Bombyx mori: one gene and its partner. The main gene of each other region encodes a partner of the protein of the gene in region 2 in a complex. Links are inferred from orthologs where the notes say so. Each region holds a gene or a part of one and is shown on either strand. Other genes may lie near its edges. The genes, in order: pre-mRNA-splicing factor RBM22 and pre-mRNA-processing factor 17.

Region 1 (11,256 bases), on a different chromosome or scaffold from region 2:
TAATGTTTATGCAAGAAGAAAAAGATGAAATGGACCGGAATGAATTAAAATGCTATTGGAAATGAAATTAAATGAAGTGCAATAACAAAACAGCGTAGGAGTTAGGGAAGATGAAAAACCTTTCGGTAAATGGTGCGAATCTACTGAGCGTTTTTCGCACTTGCCACGATCTTATTTTATTTTCCCATGCTTGTACACTTCTACAGATACTAAATGACTAACGTATTACCATTAGCACATGTTTCAACTTGAAGAAATATTAAATTATCCAATTTTTTTTTTGGCGGGAACGCTGTCAATCTTTGCAAATAACTACTTTTAAGTGGGAACGTAAGGTGTACGTTCCCACTTAAAAGTTCCACTAATGTCATTATGGAGATGCTATTTTAAACTGAAGAACGTATCGTTGATTTTGCCTACTCGGACAGGTAGAGAAAATATAGTGATGAATCAAATTGAATTTATATAATTTCTACAAGAATATTATGGCATAGACTAAGAATAAGGTGGCATGAGAATTCATGATTCAGACTGCTTACTAGATAGACATGATTAAATAACTTTTACAGCAATCAATCTCTATTCATATCTCCGTCATTGTTTTCTTAAAATTTTCTATCAACACTACGTTTACTAAAATAATATTGATTCAGGATATAAAGGAAGTATAAATAGGTCAATTGCTTAATAATAATTTATTACGCATTACTTAAAAATAACATCTATAGAGGACAATCATAAATGTTCACACACTTATCTTCAGATACTGATATGATTTTATTACTTTCAGCATTAAATTTCACTCCCCAAACCTGAAAAATAATAAATGTATACTTAATTTATTTAAACATTGTGTAATTACATTCAATTTTACCTTGTTATTAACTAACCTGATCATTATGTTCTTTGAACGTATGTTGGCATTGCATGCTATCTAAGTCCCACACACGCACCGTTCGATCTGCACTACCCGATACAAAACGCTTTCCATCTGGAGAGAATGCTACTGACAGCACCCAAGATGCATGGCCAGATAATGTACCTGCTAAATTAGCATGTACTCTGTAATTAAAAAAACACTTTAAAAATAGGTTTTTACTTGTATAATGTTTTCGTTAATAAAATTTAAGATTTAAGGATGGTAGTTCTTTATCTCTCACTGCCATATAAATTAATGGGTATTTTCAAAAATGTAATTCTTTCTCTGTAAATAGCTTTTTTTTGCCTACCTATTGCTAGTTATGCTTGCTTCGTCGACCGTATAGGCGATAGCCTTACAGATTTTACTAACATCTGCCCTAGCAAAGATAGTGCATCCCTGAATCTACCACTAGATCGGAATCGCAACCATTGGAGGAGATCCAGAAAGAAACTCACTGAGCTGAGTTTGTGGATCAAATTGCACGACGAGCCCTTCATCGCATCAGGCTTGAAATGCCCAAAAGCACAGATAGCAGATTGGGAGGGTCCAAGATTATGTGTTTAGGGCGACAGCGACTGTTCATCTGGTCTAATTGGTATTCCCGATTGGGTCTATGGTTTGCGGCTACCATGATAAGAGGGTTATCGTGTCGCGCCACTTTTTCGACGAATCATAAATAGAAACTAATTTCTATTTATGATTCGTCGAAAAAGGATGGGTGAACTTCTAACACACTGCGGATGGAATTGCTGACAAATAATGCACATGCTTAATTCTATAGGTTCATGTAGGCCTGTTTAGCCTTAGATAAGAAAAAAAAGCGATAGAGATGGAGTTCTTGTTTTGGAAACCAATACTAAAGTGTGAGTAAAAAAATATTAAAATACACATACACATCATAAAGTTTCATATGACCATCATCCGAGCCAGTCAATAAAAGCTGTGAATCTGGAGAGAAACATAAACTTCTAATAGACATTGCATGTCCTTCAAGGGTATGTACTAATTTTCCTTGAGCCACATCAAAGATATTGATAATTCCATCTAAGGCTCCGCTGGCAATGTATTTCCCATCAGGGCTCTAAAAAGCAGAAATTTAAAATTATTAAATTCTCTTAAATTAATTAATTAAATTGCTTAGAGGCATTCAATACCTAATAGACCATCTACTCATTTACATACATACATTACAGTACAACTGTGCTGTTGTATTCTTTATTCCGTATACTGATAATAAGTGAAGACTCACTGGGGCAAGTTGGTAGTTTATTTAAATAATTTATTAAAATTACTTACGTAAGCCACACTAAGAGTGAATTTCCCCCTGGTGTCCAATACTTGCTCCTGTTTACCACTTTCAACTCCAAAAATGAGTATTTTCCCTGCATTGCTTCCAGAAATAACATGTTTTCCATCTGGTGAAAAGTCTAAAGTCCAAACGTCGGTGAGTCCAGTTTCAAACATTTTTAGTTTTTCACCCGAGATCAAATTCCATAGTATCAATGATGAATCCTGTGAGCTGCTTGCTAAGGCTAAAATTACATTTAGCTTATGTACAAAAGTTAAAGAGTTATTGCTCAATGAGTATTTTTTGTAGTGTACCAATTAAAATTCAACACAAGTTGGGTTAATTTTGATGATGTTAATTATTGATTTATTTCATAGACTATATGAGTCGTCTATTATCAAAGGTGGCAATCTGTGCATTTGGACAAAAAAAATTTATTGATATGTCAATACAGATTGATTTGAATATAATCATCTCCTTTAAAGAATACGGTTCAAAACCTGCATTAAATAAAGGTTAATAGTTAACCTGTTATTTATCTAAGATGTTGTTCCGAAGAGTTTTGTGACTGTCAATGGAATACAAAGTCAATAATTCGTTTTTCTGATTTACCAATCATTGTCCAAAAGTCAGATTGCCGGCTTTGATAATAGTGGACTCATATTACCAAATTGTCTTGATAGATCTGACACATACTTTTCCCATCGGGGCTAACCGCAACTGAAATCACTCCTAAAGAATGTCCTTCGAGCTGGTGCTTAATTTCTAGTTTCCCGTTATCTAATTGCCACACTTTTATGTAGTCATCCAAGCCACCGGTTATAATGTAATTTTCTGCGGATTCCTTCTGAGAGTCCCTGTAATATTAAAATGTTAATTTTAGAATCTTATGAATTTCTGTTCACGTATTTATTAACTTTTTTAATACAATTACAATCAAAATATTATCATGATATTGCTTGAATATCAAGGTTTCAATTTATCAAGCAATTATAATTCATTCATAACACTACAATAAGTTAATATTAAAACTGTTTTCTTTTCATGTTACATTATGTTTAGGTTTCATAGGTTGTATTTAGTACTTTAGGCCAGGTTAGTATAATTAATATTCTATTACAGTATAAGTTCATATGATGCTTACCACTTTAAGATCTTTTTAAATTACTAAATTATATTTATTTTAAAGTTTATTTCTGAAGCTTTTATTAGTGGCATATGGAATTAGGATTACTTACTGTAATTCCTCTGCGTTTTCTGTATCATTTTCGCCTTCTTTCGGTTTCTCGGGTTCTATCCTACTCCAAGTACAACACCAAATTGCATCCTCGTGTGCATTTTCTTTTTTCAATTGTAAATAATACTGAAAAAAGGTTTGACTTAAAATCGGAACCGGTGTTTAATTACTGAAGAATTATGTACACATTTAAATTATACCAGAGTTGTAATGGACATGATTACTAGAAGCCCGAAGCGCGATCTTAAAACCTTTAGTTTCCTAATTAAAACAAATAGTGTACATTATTTCGGAATTTTCGAATTTTACAATTTTTTGAGCAACTTTTCATAGGTACCAATTAGGGATGTAACGCGTTTGAAGAAAACCGGAAAAACCGGTTTTATAGATAAATAAATTATTTAAGAATATCGGTTTTTAAAAACACGTTACATTCACAATTCACACCACTGCTAGCAGATCAAATATACAAACTACCGTGCTGCTAAATAAAAAATGCCGTGTTTGAGATTCAAATTACCGTGCATTACATTTAAAAACTACAGTACAGTTTGAAAAAAATACAATAGTATTAAATCAAAACTAAAAAGCTTTTTATTATTGGATAATATAAGATCATTAAGCTTATATAAAATATGCTCACCCTATTAATTGTATGAAGAAAACTCTTCATTTGCATGTAAATTTGTTTTATTTAATGATTATTTAGCCTTTATGGAAAAAACCTAAAAATACCTTAAAAAACCGGTTTTTTGAGAAACAAATCAGTAATAAACCTGAGCCAGAAATTGTAATTTTTAGTTTAATTTCTTGAATCAATGAGGCAAAAGAAACATGATTCATATGCATGTACGTGTGACATATATCTTGAAAGGTGGACAATTTTGCAATACTTGACGTGATAGACATTACTTATCTTTTCCGTAAGATTGGGAATATTTACTGATGCCAACCCAGACCCTACAGGAAGTCAATCAGACCCTCCAGGTTTCCGATCCTGACCAGTGATCTTAGAATCCTTAAGTATTTTACCCGCTAGCTTACAAATCTATTACACTTCAGTATGATACCGTTGCCCTCTGAGAAAACGCTTGTATCCACTGTCCATGATACTGGTGGTACGATGATTTGTTAGTCCGCACGGGTAGGTACCACCTTACTTATTTCTGCCGTGAAGCAGTAATGCGTTTTAGTTTGAAGGGTGGAACAGCCATTGCACTGTAAAAACTAAGATGTCTCGAAGTGGGTGATGGCATTTACGTTATAGATGTCTATGAGCTTCGGTAACCACTTAACACCGGGTAGGCCGTTGGCTCGTCAAAAAAAAACTTTGTATCCATCCGTGAAGATGGTTTGGTATTAGGTTCAAATTTGTCTCCTCAAGCAATAATTCTACTAATACTTTTCTAATTAATTTCTCATGTGCCCTCTCTCAGTAGTACATTTATTCGTTATGGGATTTTAGTTATAAAATTTCATCGTAAGATTTAAGTAATAGATCAATAACTATCCAGAATTAAGTATTCTATTTTTTTTATTGCATAGTTGGGTGGACGAGCTCACAGCAAACCTGGTGTTACCTGTTACTGGAGCCCATAGACATCTACGACGTAAATGCGCCACCCACCTGAGATATCAGCTCTAAGGTTTCAAGTATAGGGCTGCCCCCACCCTTCAAATCGCATTACTGCTTCACGGCAGAAATAGGCAGGGCGATGGTACCTACCCATAAGGACTCACAAGAGGTCCTACCACCAGTAATCATAATAAGACCTGAAGGTGATTATTCGAAATGTAATGAAAATTAATAGAAAGTAGTAAAAACAGAAGTTAAACACAGAAAGAACTCAAAACTCAAACAACCTGAGAAACATTGCTAATTCTACACTGTTTCACTGTTTCTGCTCAGCTCACCATAACATAACCTAGTACGGTTAAGTACCAAGAGTCTTTCTATTTCGCTATGAAGTTTTTTATTTATTTAAAAAGTGGAAAAAGAATGGAAACATCGACCTGGTGTTCCAACGCCGGCAGTGACGGCCATTTGACTTATAAAGCTGAAAACTGGAAATTGATATAGCATTTTATAGCTTCGTTGACTTGTTGAACAATTTTAGTCAAATTACGTAAGTGTTGTAGTAGTAGCAAATTAACGATATTAGTGATCTGAGGAAATGGCTCTTAGTAGCACCGCTCTTTTGATATTTTTTAATTCCTATGAAATTTGCATTTCCTGCAGAGAATTCCCCTTTTACTGAAAGATTATTTGAATTGATTTCCTTTGAAGTCCAAGTAGTTCAACTACTTTAGTCATAGAGTTTCTTAATTCTACATAGAATAGGCTTGGCTTTACTTTCCATTGCAAAAGAACTGTATGCTCTTGATTTCTTTGTCTGTTTAAGCGAAAAAAATCAATAATCTCTATGTTCATCCCAGTGTCGACTGTCGACGGTTCAGTGCCATAGATTATACACTTTCAGTGCTGTTCGTTCAGAGTGAAAATCTGTCATTACAAAATGAATGTTCAATGACGTACCTTGGTAACTAAATACTTTTGTGATTTAGTTGCATGTAGAAATGGGAAAGAAGTGTTTTGTTTGATAGGGTAATTTAAACTAAATTACATTTCAACTTTACAATACAAATTACATTTCAATTCAACAATTATTTTTGTCACAGTTAAGCTGCGTTGAATCTAAAATAATATCAAGAAAGGACACGCCATGGCTACATCGAAGTCAACAAACACATACAATCGTCAGAATTGGGAAGACGCCGTGAGTATATTGTTGAAGCTTATCAATTATCATTATCTCATTGTGGTAGTAACCATGTTATATTTTTGCAGGATTTTCCAATATTGTGCCAAACATGTCTTGGAGATAACCCTTACATTAGAATGGTATGTATTGTGGTTTCCGATAACATTATTTCGACAACTTTGATTGTTTTTTTTCATTTAACTATTTTCAGACTAAAGAAAAATACGGTAAAGAATGTAAAATATGCTCAAGACCTTTCACAGTGTTTCGATGGTGTCCCGGAGCAAGAATGCGTTTCAAGAAAACAGAAATATGTCAGACCTGTTCGAAACTGAAAAATGTTTGTCAAACATGTTTATTGGATTTGGAATATGGTCTGCCAATCCAAGTGAGAGATGCTGCATTAAAAGTTCAGGATGACCTACCTCGAAACGAAGTAAACAAGGAATATTACATACAAAACTTGGAGAGTCAGCTGTCTAACTCTGATCCAACACAGCCAACCAATTCTCTAAAATCTAAAGGATCGTCCGATTTGTTGGTGCGGTTAGCTAGAACAGCTCCATATTATAAGAGGAATAGACCGCACGTGTGCTCGTTTTGGGTCAAAGGAGAATGTAGACGAGGGGAAGAATGTCCGTATCGTCACGAGAAGCCAACAGATCCTGATGATCCACTAGCTGATCAGAACATTAAAGACAGGTTAGTCACATAAGTTTTCTGTACATCTGCTTAGTGAAAATAAAAATAAACACGTCTTTGTAAAGTGGAATTTTAGTAAATTGCATTACAAAAAGTCTTTCGATTTAAGGTATTCATAGATTTTGATCAATTATTCATTTGAGTTCCAAAAATGAACCAAATCCTGACTAAAGATTGCGAATTAATGAGGCTTAAGTTATTGAAACTCCATTGTAATAATAGTATGTGAAATAACAGCAATATCATAGTTGTTATTGAATATCTCTTGATATTTTACAGTAAATAGCTGTTAGTGTTTCTAAAAAAAAAGTTGAAGGTTTCATAATTTTTTATTCACAGGTATTATGGTGTAAATGATCCAGTAGCTGAGAAGCTTATGCGTCGTGCTGCTGCAATGCCTGCTCTACCTCCACCTGAAGACAAAACTGTTACTACCTTGTATGTTGGTAATCTTCCTGATAATGTCACTGAGGACGAGCTTAGAGGCCACTTTTACCAATATGGTGAAATTAGGTAAGTTTGACAAGTTAACACAACAAATAACAATGCTCTGGAAACAAACAGTTCATAGAAATAAACTCATAATTGTGTCTGGTGATATACACTGCATATATCTTAATTATGTTTTAATAATCTAAATATTTTTTTATTTAAATTATGCAGCTAATGTAAAGTATTCTCATATGTTCAGAGTTGACTAACTAATATTTAATTTAAGGATTATGTACCAAGTAAACCATAGTACATCCCTAGTATTATGGTTTTTAAAATAAGACCGATATCTGATTGGTGGTTATCTTAAGTTGCTACAACCATTTTTCTCATCAGTTCACAGTAGTATTCCCTTGTATTTTTTTATTATCTATTAATGTAATTGAGATTTTGATCATCATCACAAGGCTGATGAAATTAATGGTGTGATGTTGTCATTAGAAATGTGTGTATCATTAGAAAACAAATCACTATTCTAGACTTGTTTGATAAAATTAGCACTATGTTAGAAGTTATTGAATTTTCAGATGTTTGACTCTTGTACCTCGAGCCCAGTGTGCCTTTGTGCAATATACTTCAAGAAATGCTGCAGAACATGCTGCAGAAAAGACTTTCAATCGTCTTGTTATTTTTGGCAAGAGACTGACAATCAAATGGGGTAAATCGCAAGGTAACAAAACATTATTATTGCATTGTGCAAGTTTCTAAGAGAGTACCTGGTAACTACAAAATGTTAGAATACACTACATTTATGAAAAAGTATTCAATATGTTTTTTGCAAGTTATTTTCTGAAATGAGGTTTGTACTCAAACTAGTATAATTTAAAGACCTCAATCTGTAATATGATAGTAAAAGTTTATATTTCGTAATATTTATGAGTGTGTAATGTTGTTGTATATAACAGGACGACAAGGACTTACTGAGAAGAATGATGGTGTACCCATGTTGGAACCAGTTCCTGGATTGCCTGGGACGTTGCCACCACCCCCTGCATATTTACATCCATTCCCGCCACAAGTTAGTGTAAAAATGTTTTAAATTCTATGTAAAATATTTTACTTTTCTTCAAAGGATACTGAACAAAGCCTACTTTACTGGTGGTACTTAGCTTTACTGGTGGTAGGACCTCTTGTGAGTCCGCGCGTGTAGGTACCACCGCCCTGCCTATTTCTGCCGTGAAGCAGTAATGCGTTTCAGTCTGAAGGGTAGGGCAGCCATTGTAACTATACTGAGATCTTAGAACTTATATCTCAAGGTGGGTGGCGCATTTACGTTATAGATGTCTATGGACTCCAGTAACCACTTAACACCAGGTGGGCTGTGAGCTCGTTCACCCATCTAAGCAATAAAAATAAACAAAACTTAGAGACCGTATTTGTAATATTTTGTAAATTCTGTGTTCAGATGCCACCACCCCCGAACCGTCCGAACGATTTCTTCAACTTGCACCACTATGGTGGTCCGGGCTGGGGACCGTGGGGTCCGCCTGGCATGGCGCCGCCCCCGCCTCCGGCTCCGCTCCCGGCCCCGCTCCGCCTGCACTACCCTAGCCAGGACCCCGCGCGTCTCGGGGCCCACGCACACACCAACGCGCCGCAAATTTAGCAGTTGCTAATAGAATTCATAGTCATGAACTTTAAATTATGACGATGCTTGTTAAACGTGAATAAATCCAATAACTATGATTTGTGCATTGTTTGTTTGTGGTATTCTTTGTGTGAAATTTGAAAAATAAATTTAAGTAAGGTTCGATATAGAGTAGCCATTCCCAAAACGACCCAGTACCTTCAAGCTTAATACCTATAGAATAGTAAAATAAAGAATAAAAAAACGGAATTGAAGATGGTGGTGTGATCTAAATGAATTATTTTTAAATAAACGAGCACTGCTAAAGAAGATGGAAAGACGCCGTAACAATTTGCTAGTACTAGAGACCTTCATTCAAATTAAATGAAACTGACCTAACTAAAGAATGCTAGTAATGAAAAAGTTCTTATAAGTTTCTACATTTCTTTCATGTTAATATCAATAAAGGTTTCAAAGTAAAACAGATATTCTGAAACTATATTTATTATTAATCATAAGTTCATAACATTACTTAATTGTTACAAAACAGTTTAAACATTCTGATAAAACTACATTCCTTCGCTTACCATTTATTCTGGGTAAGGACGGTCTGTTAAATAATTTACATTAAACTAGGCCCAGATTACGTAATGAATCTTAATTAAGATGACGCACTAATTGTACGTCGCGACGATGAAACAATTTAAAAGCAGATTAATATTGGCTCAGAAAGCTGTTTAGTCGGTTGACTAGTTTTAAGAATATGCTCATATCCTAATTCTATACATATACATTATAGTGTTGTGCATCTAAGTCTCAGTGAAGGGCAAGAAGGATCATTCAGATTAACGGTAATTAACTATATATATATATATATATATATTTAAATGAACATCGAGAATACAAGTTACTACTAAATTAGAGACGTTAATAATTTATGTACACTTTGGAATGTTAGACACATCTAAAAGTTTAGTTTTAAAAATCGCTAAAGGTTTCGAACTCCACATCACAAATTATAATTTAGCATTAAACAGTATAGGGACACAAAAATATAGATATGCAAATATTGAGCCTGCTAAAATTCAATTGGTACATGTAATCGATACAATAAATATAAAAGTATTAAAAGCCTTGGGTGTTTATTGGATATTATTTTCTTAAAGCATATTTTGTAAGCTCTCGTCTCGTCCGGTAATAGTCTAATAATAATCGAACGTTGAATAAATGCGCTTTAAAATATGACATTAAAATATAAAAAAAATGCGCCAAATGAAATATTTCTAAGTACATAGGTTGCACAATATCTTACTAACTTACTGCAGCCGTTCATAATTATTTTCAGTATATATATATAGTATTTAATAAAATCTTATCTATAATTGCTGGAGTAATGTTAACATTTCGTCAAGAATAAAACAAATTACAAATAACAATAAAATTATGTTTGTATTAGTTTTACAATAGGGATCGCACAGCCAAGTAATAACAATGTTGCCGTTCAAGTATTTTAACGTGTTTTAAAGTGTTATTATGTTTCATAAATTAAGTGTTCGAGCTGTCCATCCTTATTGAAAGAAGGTTGTCATAATTATAGTCAATTATTAAAGACTTCGTTCACACGAATTGTTCTTCGATTTTGAATTTTCCATTCTTTTTTACCTGGGAAACAAATATGGTTTGTATGTATGGTGGTAGGACCTCTTGTGAGTCCGCACGGGTAGGTACCACCATCCTGCCTATTTCTGCCGTGAAGCAGTAATGCGTTTCGGTCTGAAGGGTAGGGCAGCCGTTGTAACTATACTGAGATCTTAGAACTTATATCTCAAGGTGGGTGGCGCATTTACGTTGTAGATGTCTATGGGCTTCGGTAACTGCTCAACACTAGGTGGGCCGTGAGCTCGTCCACCCAACTAAGCAATAAAAAAGAAATAATAGCTTAGTACTTAAAGTAATAGCAAGTTCATATATGGTGAATGCATAAGCTAAAACAAAACAGCTGGCGGACATAGCCCACGTGTCACAAAAGGTCGTTAACCTCGCAAGACCTAAAACTTCTTTAATTACTACCTACCTCTAACCAGTGCCGGATTAACCATGTAGCAAGAGTAGCAACTGCTACGGGCCCCGCGCGAACGGGGGCCCCGCATATTTAAACCCACTCATCTCTGCCCGAGCTTAATTTTTTGAGTGACTTATTAAGAAAAAGTTGTTTGTATAAACGTGTAGAATTTCAATCAGCCTGATAATCAGCTCTACAAAAGTCTGACGTATGCAAGCACTCTT
Region 2 (11,330 bases):
TGTAAGTCTAATACAGGCGCGCCAAAAAGTATTATTCCAATAAAGAAACAAAAGTTAACACCTAGGAGAAACACAAACGATTTGAGGACGTCGCTTGCTTTCGTTTTACTGGTCTTGCCTTTCTTTCCTTGTATATCATTCGGGGCGCTAAGATAAAACGACTTCAGTAATTCGGCAATGAATATTAGTACCAAAATATAAAAAGAAGATCCTTTGCCCACATAGTAGAGCGACCCTCTATACGATATAACAGTCACAATACTAGGCAAGTAAATACATGTAATAAGGCTTGATATTGTTATTCGACGTAATTCTAATTGGGTATTAAACGCAAACATTTTAGTGTATCTATAATACTATTTATTACTAACACTATTTATTGTTTAACTTTTAAATTGCCAGTTTGTTTCCATTTGTTACATGTGTGACTTCATTTCATTATCAATTTATCTTGGTCTGTCAATTGATCAATTCAGTAGTAGTAGTTTTATTTTTCCAACTGGAAAGGTAAGGATGTCATAACATACAGCTCAATCTATTATATTATATTCATTTATTTTATTTAATATGAAACACGATAATATGAAATGAATTATGATGCGAAGATATGGGATGAAATATAATCTCGGTAAAATAGTGGTCATTTACTGAGACTCTTTCAGTGGACTTTTTGGAGGATCCCGAGAAGTTATGTCCAGCAGCTTTATTTTATTTTCCCACATTTGTGCAATTTCACAGATACTAAACAGTTGATAAACCACCGCCAAAAAGTCCCAGATTTTCACATTGGCATTACACCGGTCACTCACATGCGCACGAATACGCAAACCCGCAAATGTAGAACGACATTTGCAAATGATTATGCAAAGTTTTCGCTGCATTCGTGGTTTTCCAAGCTGTGTCGTTTTTTTAAAAGACATCAAAGCGCGCGAACCTCGAACCTTCACGTAGTCTCCCACACATTCGCTTGCCCAGTTGCGCCGACGATTGCGAAGGTAACGGACGTATCGCCATTTTCATAGTTCGTGACGTCTACTGTGTAGCGTATCTTCATCAAAAGAAATCCCATAAAAACAGCATAGCTGTTAATGATGTCTGGGAAAGAATTCAAAAATCTTTTTCTTTTCAATGTTCTATTGACGAATTAAAAAGGAGGAGAAATTCGTGAGACATTCGTAAACAAGTGTAGGAGGAAGCGCAAACGGGTTCGCAAATTGAGTATGCGAACCCATTTGCACAGCTGCTAAGTTTGCGAATGAATGTTTGACGGCCCTTCACATGAGCGCAAACATTCGTACAATGTACGAATATTTGCCCGCATGTGAGTGGCCGGCATTAGAAATATTGTGTATTATCTATGCATTAAGACTGAATTGACAGGACTTTTTGGCGAGAGCACGAAGAGTGAACTTGTATGATTTGGTTTTTTTGTCTATTTAATATTTCTTCAGGTTTAAATGTGTACTAACGATGATTTATTAACTGTTTAGTATTTGTGAAAATGCATAAATATATATATGAAATTAGACTGTATGGTACTACACCTTTGCTTTTCCAGTTGGAAAAATAAAGCTATACTGTCAAAACTTCATTCAGCATCAAAATCTATTTAGTCGATTGTGAATTTAAGTTTCATAAATTACAACTAAAACTAAATTTTACTGAATTACAAAACAAGTTAAGAATTATCATGGATAAAAGTAATGCAATTATTAAATAAATTTCTTCTTAATATACTTTTGATACAATTAAATCGTTCAATATTGTTGATATTTAATTCCAAATGACATTAGCTATTTGGCAACACTAAGCTTACGAAATCAAATCAAAATAAATTTTGTAGTGTGTATGACTGCGGGAGCTCAGCAAAAGTACGTTCAAATCGATATGACGACACAAACTTTATAAATGAAAGTCGCTGTCAGCTGAGCTCCCAGTTGATCGGTCACAGACCACAGTGGAACGTTCGGCTACAGTGAGAGCCAACGTTTAGTTATCCTTAAATAAATTATTTCCAACTTCAACAAGTTTCATAAGTGTTTTGTGTCATCGATTACATAAAAATCGTAAAATGCCTTGTCCGTTTTTGGGATCGTTGAACCAAGCGTTCGTGAAAAATTATGGTGCGACCCTGATGAAGCAGTACGGAAATTATTGCCCGATTATATCTCGTGGATTTCGTTCTTTGGGAAATGACGAAACCAAATGCCCCTTCATTCAGCAAAACTCTATCATTTCGGAAGCTCCTAAGGAAATGACCGAGGACATCGCGGAACCTGCGACTCCGTACCACTACGAGAACTTTTTCCACGACCAGATCAACGCTAAAAAAAGGGACTACTCCTATCGCGTTTTTAGAAAGGTGTCTCGTTTGGCTGCTGATGGAGTATATCCGAAAGCCCTGGAGGGGCCTGAAAATCGTAGAGTAACTGTCTGGTGTGCCAATGATTACTTAGGGATGTCCCGTCACCCAACTGTGCAGGATGCTGCTGTCAACGCTATCAAATCCTATGGAACAGGAGCAGGTGGTACAAGGAATATTGCTGGAAACTCCCAGATGACTGAGAAGCTTGAAGGAGAAATTGCAAAACTGCATAAGAAGCCTGCAGCATTAATATTTAGTTCTTGCTTTGTAGCTAACGACGCTACTTTATCTACATTAGCAAAAATACTGCCTGATTGCATAGTTTACTCGGATGCAGGAAATCATGCTTCTATGATACAAGGAATCCGGAACAGCCGAGCCCCTAAGCATATCTTCAGGCACAACGATCCAAACCACCTACGGAAGTTATTGGCCGACTCTCCCAAAGGTGTACCAAAGCTAGTTGTATTTGAAACTGTTCATTCCATGAGTGGTGCTATATGTCCTTTAGAAGAAATGTGCAATATAGCACATGATTATGGAGCTTTAACTTTTGTTGATGAAGTGCATGCTGTTGGCTTGTATGGAAAACATGGTGCGGGTATAGGAGAAGAGAGAGGTTTGCAAGACAAAATAGACATTGTATCGGGGACACTGGGAAAGGCTTATGGTAATGTCGGAGGATATATCGCAGGTTCCTCCCTCCTGGTGGACACTATAAGGTCTCTAGCACCGGGTTTCATTTTTACTACAGCATTACCGCCACCGGTTCTGGCTGGCTCCCTGGCAGCTATAAGGCTTTTAGCTAGTGAAGAAGGACGGAATCTACGAGCTAAGCACCAGGCCATAGTGCGCTATTTGAAACTGTCATTGCTCGTGGCCGGTTTGCCACAGTTACCATCCGTGAGTCACATAGTGCCCGTTCCTATCAAAGGGGCCGATAAAGTGGCCCTCGTTGCCGAATCTCTAATGAAGAGGGGCCACTACGTGCAGGCTATCAACTATCCCACGGTGGCGCGCGGCGATGAGCGGCTGCGGTTCGCGCCGGGCCCCTACCACACGCCCGAAATGATAGACAACCTGATCACGGCACTCATTGAATCATTCCATGAGAATAACATACGCTTCAGTGAGTTTATGATAAACGGCACTTGCCGCGAATGCAGCATGGAGTACAAGGTGGACATCGGCTACGAGGAGCCCCTCAAATACCCGATGCAAGTCGCCTAGACCTTGACCTTGACCTTGAACTAGCGAAATTTTTATTTATTTGAATTATTATGGTTGATGGTTAGGGAAAAAAAAATTAAATGCATGGCAATGGTTTTGATTGTTTTATTCAGTCCCAGTATTTGATGGCGCCGTCCCAGCCCGCGGTAAGCAGCTTGCTGGGCTCATGTGGGTGCCACAGTGAGGTTATGCAAACTCCGTCGTGAGCTTTCCACTTCTTATAAAGCTTCGTCGTCTTCCAATCCCAAATGTAGCATTTCCCGTCCGCGTCACCCGACACCAAATAACTGTAAACAATTAGGAAAGATTAATTATTAAATACACAATTAACAATTTAATTATTGCATTTCACATACAACTGCCTCTTATTAAAATTTCTGTTGATAAACTATTTAGGAGTGTAATGATGAAACAACTATAGGCTACAATTGAGACATCTCACCCTTTTTTTATTTATTTTATTGCTTAGATGGTTGGACGAGCTCACAGCCCACCTGGTGTTAAGTGGTTACCGGAGCCCATAGACATCTACGACGTAAATGCGCCACCCACCTTGAGATAAGTTCTAAGGTCTAAGTATAGTTACAACGGCTGCCTCACCCTTCAAACCGAAACGCATTACTGCTTCACTGCAGAAATATGCAAGGTGGTGGTACCTACCCGCGCGGACTCACAAGAGGTCCTACCACTAGTAAAACCTCATGTCGACTGGACAGAAGAAAAAAATAGTAAAATATATCCTTTACGTTGACGGTTTTTAAGAGCATAATGATTATAAAATCATTTGTTCGTTAAAATCATTATATAATATATCTCAAAAGTAGCTGCCATAATAAGGAAAGTATTCCAGCACACAGCATTTGACCTAAAGAAACTTAAAGAGCAATTATTGAATCAGCACTTATACGCACGTAATAACGAAATTAACTACAAAAACCTTCAATTTAAAACAAAGGGGAGAAAACGAGAATGACCTCAATAAATAAGGTCGTCTGTAGAATTAATTCATTAGAATAAACCACGTATTCGTACCAAGTATTACAAAAATATTGTTCTACGATCTAGTTCTTTGATGACAATATGAATCAACATTATTATTTTTTGCCTATCTAGTGCTAGTAACCTCGAGGGGTTATGCTAGTATGGTTTAGTTCACGGGAATTAACCTGGCAACTTTGCTAACATCTGCCCTAGCAAGAGAATTAACAATAAGTTCACTATTTCACATACCGGCAACTAATAACTTAAGGTTTTTTTTTTAATATTACTATTCAAAAAATTCTGAACTTATTCCTTATATTTCAAGTTAATACATGGATATTAATGAACAGATTACGATCAAAAAAAGCGGCTTAGAAACTGGGTACGTCTAAATAAGGCCATTATATAGTAACTTTTGTGCTGAGTAAATGTGAATAGAATTCTACGGATGGCGGGGAGACATGCGTCGGTAACTTTGCCACCAGCCCGTCTCGGGTGAATTTGTCTGGTCTGAGCCTGGTTATTGAGAGATAGGGGATTTTAATCGGTTTAATTACGACATGCCCGGTCTATCGGTCATAAAATGCTGGCGGAAATCCGGTGATGTAAAAAAAAAAAAAAAAATCTTAAGACGTTTACGGTGATTCTGAGCGCATGTTCTTCATATTTAATTGGAAGAGTTTTTAGCTGTTAGCGGCTTGTCTGTGCCTCGAGAATTTCTGACGTCCATGAACCAACACTCACCAACATGTCCCTCGTCTGTCTACAGAGACAATTAAAAAGGGCCAGTTGTATTTTAGCAACTCGTGTTAAATAACCATGGCATGAAAAATGCCTTCGTTAGTTATGGCCCCTTTCGTCATAACGATAAAGAGGTCACTGTTTTTTTTATCAACAACACATCACTGTTGTATGCCTAATCTAATACAACTTTGACTACACAGAACGTACAAAAATATCGGTTTATGTAATGGTCAAACCAAATTAAAGTATTTTTTATTATTCAAGTGTTTCCATTATTATGGAAATAACCACGGACATTTATTCCCCCAATGTCGAGTGGATAAAGAGATACGTCATTTATAATTGTTCATTGATCGGTTATGAACGGATGTTACTGTATTGAAAAATATATGGCATTGGTATGATCCTAAAATTACGTCAGCCAAAAGTGTACACTAATAACAAACTACATAGAAACATTTGAACAAGTTAAACAAGCATTTCTCATTTCACGATAATTAACTAAGTCATTAACTTTATGAAGTGAAACGAGGTAACGTTTGGTAATAAAAAAAGGAATGAATATACATTGTCATGTTTAGTATCACCGAAGTAATAAATGCTGACACAAATCGATACCACGAAATATACCTAGTTTAAAACTCAATAAAGACTACAAAAGATACATAGTTACCTAACTGTTTATCAAACTGTGAATGGGTTATTGAACTCCGAATAATTGCATACCTACCTACTGGTTTTTTTTTCCTTTTCTTTCGATAAGACCGATTGGTAATAAAACCCGATAATAGTCCAGCAATTGAACGCAAGTATCGGGAGGTCGCTATTTCGACACTTTCTCTTGTTGATTTATATGTAATCAGAATTAGTTTGGCATACTAAAAGTTAACGGCAATTGTGACATTAATAACGATTAGCTAAAACAGACCTACATTTTACTAATCTAAGATTAGAAAAACTATAACCATCGTACTGATGAAACGCATCCAAACCTTTGTTTATCAGATGATAACCCCTATCAATGTATCTTATCGAGGCATCAAGCCAAAATTTTAGTAGCCGCTGCCAAAACCGTGAGCCGTTTAGCAATACGCGCCTTTACATAATAGTCACGGGGTAAAAACGTGATTGTCGCATCTAAAATAGTCCAACATTCTATTAACGTAGTATTTTGTAACAAATATTATCGGGCGTGCACCCCGCAACTCTGTAAATAGCTTTAACGGTAAAAAGTAAATAAAACTTTTCTTTAGTCACGGGGTAACAACGTGATTGTCGCATCTAAAATAGTCCAACATTCTATTAACGTAGTATTTTGTAACAAATATTATCGGCCGTGCACCCTGCAACTCTGTAAATAGCTTTAACGGTAAAAAGTAAATAAAACTTTTCTTCTCCGAAAGTTGATGGACCTAAAGAAATATTTTCATGATTGAGCGATTAATTTAACTGACTCCAACCTATATTATTGCCGTTCGGGCATTTGCAAAACCTTGCAGTAGAACAGCGACCATCCTTGTGCATTAAAAGACACGTTTCAAAAACATTTTAAAAATTATGTTTTTTTTTTACGCTATTTCAGCGTAACCTTAACTAGTAGGTGAGCTCACGGGGCTCAAACCGGAGTGATGCTAACACTGACCCTAGCAAGAGCAGTTCTTCGCAGAATCTACCACCGGATCGGAAACGCGACCCACTGAGAAGATCCGGCGAGAAACTCAGTGGGCTGGGTTTTGTTGATGCACAAATCCACTAATCATCCAATAAAAAATCTATGGGAGATCGAAATGGTGCAGTCGGCGAGTGATACAATATAAAATGTAATTTTCCTTGTAATTCCTTTAGCAGGGTCAGCGATCCATTTTCTAGATTAAACAATTATAAGAACTCACAGACAGTGAGTCTTATCTTTGGTCCTGACCTTATTTTTGGTGGTGACCTTATCTTTGGTCTTGGTTTTTTTTTTTGGGGATGTAACTAACTTTGATTTTGGCGGATGGATGATCTGGGCGAGAAACTCAGCGGGCTGATTCGTTCGTGTCTTTGGTCAGAGCACGGCGCAAACTTATCAACGCGACTCTTTTAGACGTGTTGGAGGTATGAGGTATTTTATTTTATTGCCCGTGTAGGCAGACGAGTACATGGCCCATGTTATGGTGAGTGGATACCGTCGCCCACGGACTTCAATAATGCCAGGGCAGAGCCAAGCCGCTGTCTACCGCTTAATACTCCCTACAAGCCTCGTTTAAAGAAGCTATACGGGAGTCTAAGGAGCAGAACAATAAATATATAAAAACCCAGAACGGAATACATAATGACTGAACTAATATAATGACCATCATTACAACATTAATTGGATTTTGATTGAATAACCACGTAATCTATTTGTGCAATGTTTCGTGTTTACTAATGACGCACTTTAGCATTCTGCACAAGAAATACATGGGCGTTACACCAAAGCGAATTCGAACAGGAAAATAGTTTGGACGAGAAACATAGAATTTTATAGTGCTTAAGTTTGTCTTCGTGAAGGAAACTATAGTTTAAATACAGTACGCGTATCAATCAATCGATCCATAAATTGATTTTATAAAACAAACGATACTGTAAACAGTTTGCAGTGTCCAGACAAAACCGGATCCAAACAACAAAACAATTAAAAAAGTTGTCCTAATATAATATATACTAATTGAATTAAAATGTACATTAGATTACTGTTTTGTTGAAATATTAATAGAAAATGCTAAATAATTGCTAATGCTAATTACAAACGAACATTCTTTTAAATATGCAAAAGTACTTAACAAATGTCTACGAATGACTTCCACGGTGAAGGAATAACAGCGTGTAATAAAAATCAAACCCGCAAAATTATAATTTGCGTAATTACTGGTCCGCGCGGGTAGGTATCACCACCTTGCCTATTTCCTCGAGACCTTAGAACTCGTATCTCAAGGTGGGTGGCGCATTTATGTTGTAGATGTGTATGGGTTCCAGCAACCACTGAACAATAGGTGGGCTGTGAGATCGTCCACCCATTTAAGCAAAAAAATACAAGTCTTTGATGTAGCAGCTTGATATAGTAGATAGAATCTGTTTTATGGCGAATTGTACCTCGTTCTATAACAAAAGATTACAGTCGAAACTATTTCTCAGGTCCTATGAACTAACGTCCACACGAAAAACTAGATTGGTGTAAACTTCACCTGGGCGACCTAGTCACATACTTATTATTGACCACTATTTTTGTTAACAGCTACTTTCAAATCAGCTTCTCTTTAAATTAGTTTACTTCGAATAATTCCCTTAACACACTGATGTTACGTAATATAATAATATGTAGAATAATTATGTATTAAATAATCTTTAACGATAACGTTGTTAATAATATCTATTTGAAAGATTTTGTTTGTTTCCATAGCTTACCGTCTGGAGATAATGAGGTTAGAATATACTTTTAAACTGCTTCGTAGGAAAAAACAATGCGCGCAAAAGTAATGTTTACGAAGCCATCTTGTTATCTAAGGGCGAAACTAGGGATAAGCCGGCTTTGCACCAAAATATATTTATTATCTTTTAAATAAATTGCAAAACACATTTAAGCAAGAATATGAAAAATTGTGGATTAAGATTCTTTTGCGCTGACGGCCTCATTTTCAGTTTATTAAGTTTTTTTTTTTTTTTTTTTTTATTGCTTAGATGGATGGACGAGCTCACAGCCCACCTGATGTTAAGTGGTCACTGGAGCCCATAGACATTTACAACGTAAATGCGCCACCCACCTCTAAGTTACTAGCGACCCGCCCTCGCTTCGCTTCGGAAACATTAAAACAAACAGGAAACCAAAAAAAAAAAATTAAAAAAAATTAAAAAAAAGTAGCCTATGTTCATCAGGGACAATGTCGGCTTCTAATGGAAAAAGAATTTTTCAAATCGGTCCAGTAGTTTCGGAGCCTATGCGAAACAAACAAACAAACAAATCTTTCCTCTTTATAATATTAGTATAGATATAGATTGTAGTAGTAATATTGAAACAAAACATATTCAACGTGAATTAAAACGGATATTCTACCAAACTTGTTCCCCATAGTGCGACTTACCCATTCTCAATTCAACCTTAAAATAGTGTGGTATAAGATTTGAATTCCAAACTCTGACGCTTGTACGGTATCTTCTAAAATCGATTCGTTTAATGGATTATTGGCATTCTTTACGCGTTACGTATTGATAACACGTAGTAAAAAATGTATCAGATTTTTTGGCGTAGATAAGTCTTAAGCGAAGTGAAGTTTTTTACTGGTGGTAGGACCTCTTGTGAGTCCGCGCGGGTAGGTACCACCACCCTGCCTATTTCTGTCGTGAAGCAGTAATACGTTTCGGTTTTAAGGGTGGGGCAAACGTTGTAACTATACTTGAGACCTTAGAATTTATATCTCAAGGTGGGTGGCGCATTTACGTTGTAAATGTCTATGTGCTCCAGTAACAGTTGAGGTATCAGTTTCTCTCACAAAACCTCACTAACTTCGATATCCAATAAAGCATGTTCTCTTCTATTTAATTAATTCAAGAAAATTTGTCTTTGACCGTCAGAAATAAACTACTTTATAGGCGGACCGCTCATTATAATATCTGGCCAAAAGGTCAAATTCAACGTCAAATTGTAAATAGCTGAACTAAAGACACAGCGCGGTGCACAAGGCCAGATTCAAACGCGAATAGGTTGGCACTAATTACATTATTAAACAAATACAAACAGTAAAATAGCTCGCATTAATCATACAGATAGATTTTTTTTAATGAGCTAAACCACGCAGTATATTATTATTTATTTCTTATACTTTATTCACATGAGAGAAGATGCATGTGACTAGGAGATGTATGGAAATGTTAGAAGGGGAAGAGGTCAACCGAAGAAGATATGGATGGAGTGTGTGAATGACGTTATGAGAGAGAGAGGAGTGAGTGGGATAAAGTGGAGAAAAAGAAGAAGAAGACTTTATTCACATGAGTATAGCGGCGGACATAATGCCTAAGGCGTTCTCTACCAGTCAACCAAAGGTTGTATAGAGAGGGCTGTGATAATTATTTTATTTAAAACAAAACAAAAATCATATACAAAATACACACGAAATATATTTTGTTCCTTCTTTTTCTCAAAAAGAAATGCACCTTCCATAGCGGTCTCTACACTACCCTTGCTTGACTGATAAGTAATGCCTTAGGAATTATGTTCGCCACTGTAATTTTGACCACAAAGTTAAATAAATAAATAAAATCGTCTCTTTTTGTTTCATTATTTCGAACGCAATTTATCTTTTTACCATGTAACCTAATTTTTATCAATTGATGGTAACAATCTTCGGGCATGATAAAAAGTACTAACCTAATTATTTTTGCCCGTAAACTTCGTTTTTAATAAAGCCTGTCAATGCGTAAGAGTTTCCAAGGAGGGCTAATCATTGCTCGAAACAATACTATTGTGATCTATAGTTATGGACGCGACTTAAGCTATGATATGTTTTGACTGGTACATTTTGATAAACCACGCGTCACAATGAACCGAACGACATCGCCATATTATAATTGCAAAACAATTTTGACTCATGAAAACTTCATACGAAAACATTCGACCCGTATTTTAATATGGATATGGCGATGGTTGAAGCTGAAATAGCTCTCAGGCTATCAGCATAGGTGGAAAAAAATGAAAAAAATAAAAAAAGAACTTCAAATTTGTGATCCAACTTTTTTCTTTTCTTCTAACAGTACATTACTTTTGCTCACTCAACATAGCAAAGTTCATGACTCGTTTTATTGGTACATAAAGCTCGCTTATCGCCTATCGGTATTTCAGAATGCTAAAACATTAAAGCATATTAATATTGTGTATATAAATGATTTTTCAAAACTTCGGATCACAAAACCTCGGTTAAATGTGGCAATACAAAAAATATATATGTTTTATCTCATTTGACTATACACAGGTGTTCAAGCTTCGTTAAACAATACG

Evidence for each region.
Region 1: pre-mRNA-processing factor 17 (region 2) and pre-mRNA-splicing factor RBM22 share a complex: the UniProt entries of both Homo sapiens proteins name them as parts of the postcatalytic spliceosome P complex. The link is inferred for Bombyx mori from reciprocal best matches to the Homo sapiens genes CDC40 and RBM22.

Annotation. Positions count from the first base shown.
Region 1 is NC_085127.1:4,265,165-4,276,420, reverse strand, and holds pre-mRNA-splicing factor RBM22, read left to right. Parts: upstream 1-5,876; 5' UTR 5,877-6,052; intron 6,053-6,126; 5' UTR 6,127-6,170; coding exon 6,171-6,224; intron 6,225-6,295; coding exon 6,296-6,349; intron 6,350-6,420; coding exon 6,421-6,911; intron 6,912-7,250; coding exon 7,251-7,424; intron 7,425-7,930; coding exon 7,931-8,073; intron 8,074-8,308; coding exon 8,309-8,421; intron 8,422-8,808; coding exon 8,809-9,009; 3' UTR 9,010-9,089; downstream 9,090-11,256. Other genes in the region: WD repeat domain 61, read right to left, coding at 723-812, 891-1,062, 1,816-2,003, 2,219-2,454, 2,907-3,067, 3,449-3,573, 3,648-3,665. UniProt on the Homo sapiens protein: Required for pre-mRNA splicing as component of the activated spliceosome. Involved in the first step of pre-mRNA splicing.
Region 2 is NC_085115.1:1,471,398-1,482,727, reverse strand, and holds the end of pre-mRNA-processing factor 17, read right to left. Parts: intron 3,883-11,330; coding exon 3,705-3,882; 3' UTR 3,685-3,704; downstream 1-3,684. Other genes in the region: phosphatidylinositol-glycan biosynthesis class F protein, read right to left, coding at 1-338; 5-aminolevulinate synthase, non-specific, mitochondrial, read left to right, coding at 2,072-3,595. UniProt on the Homo sapiens protein: Required for pre-mRNA splicing as component of the activated spliceosome. Plays an important role in embryonic brain development; this function does not require proline isomerization.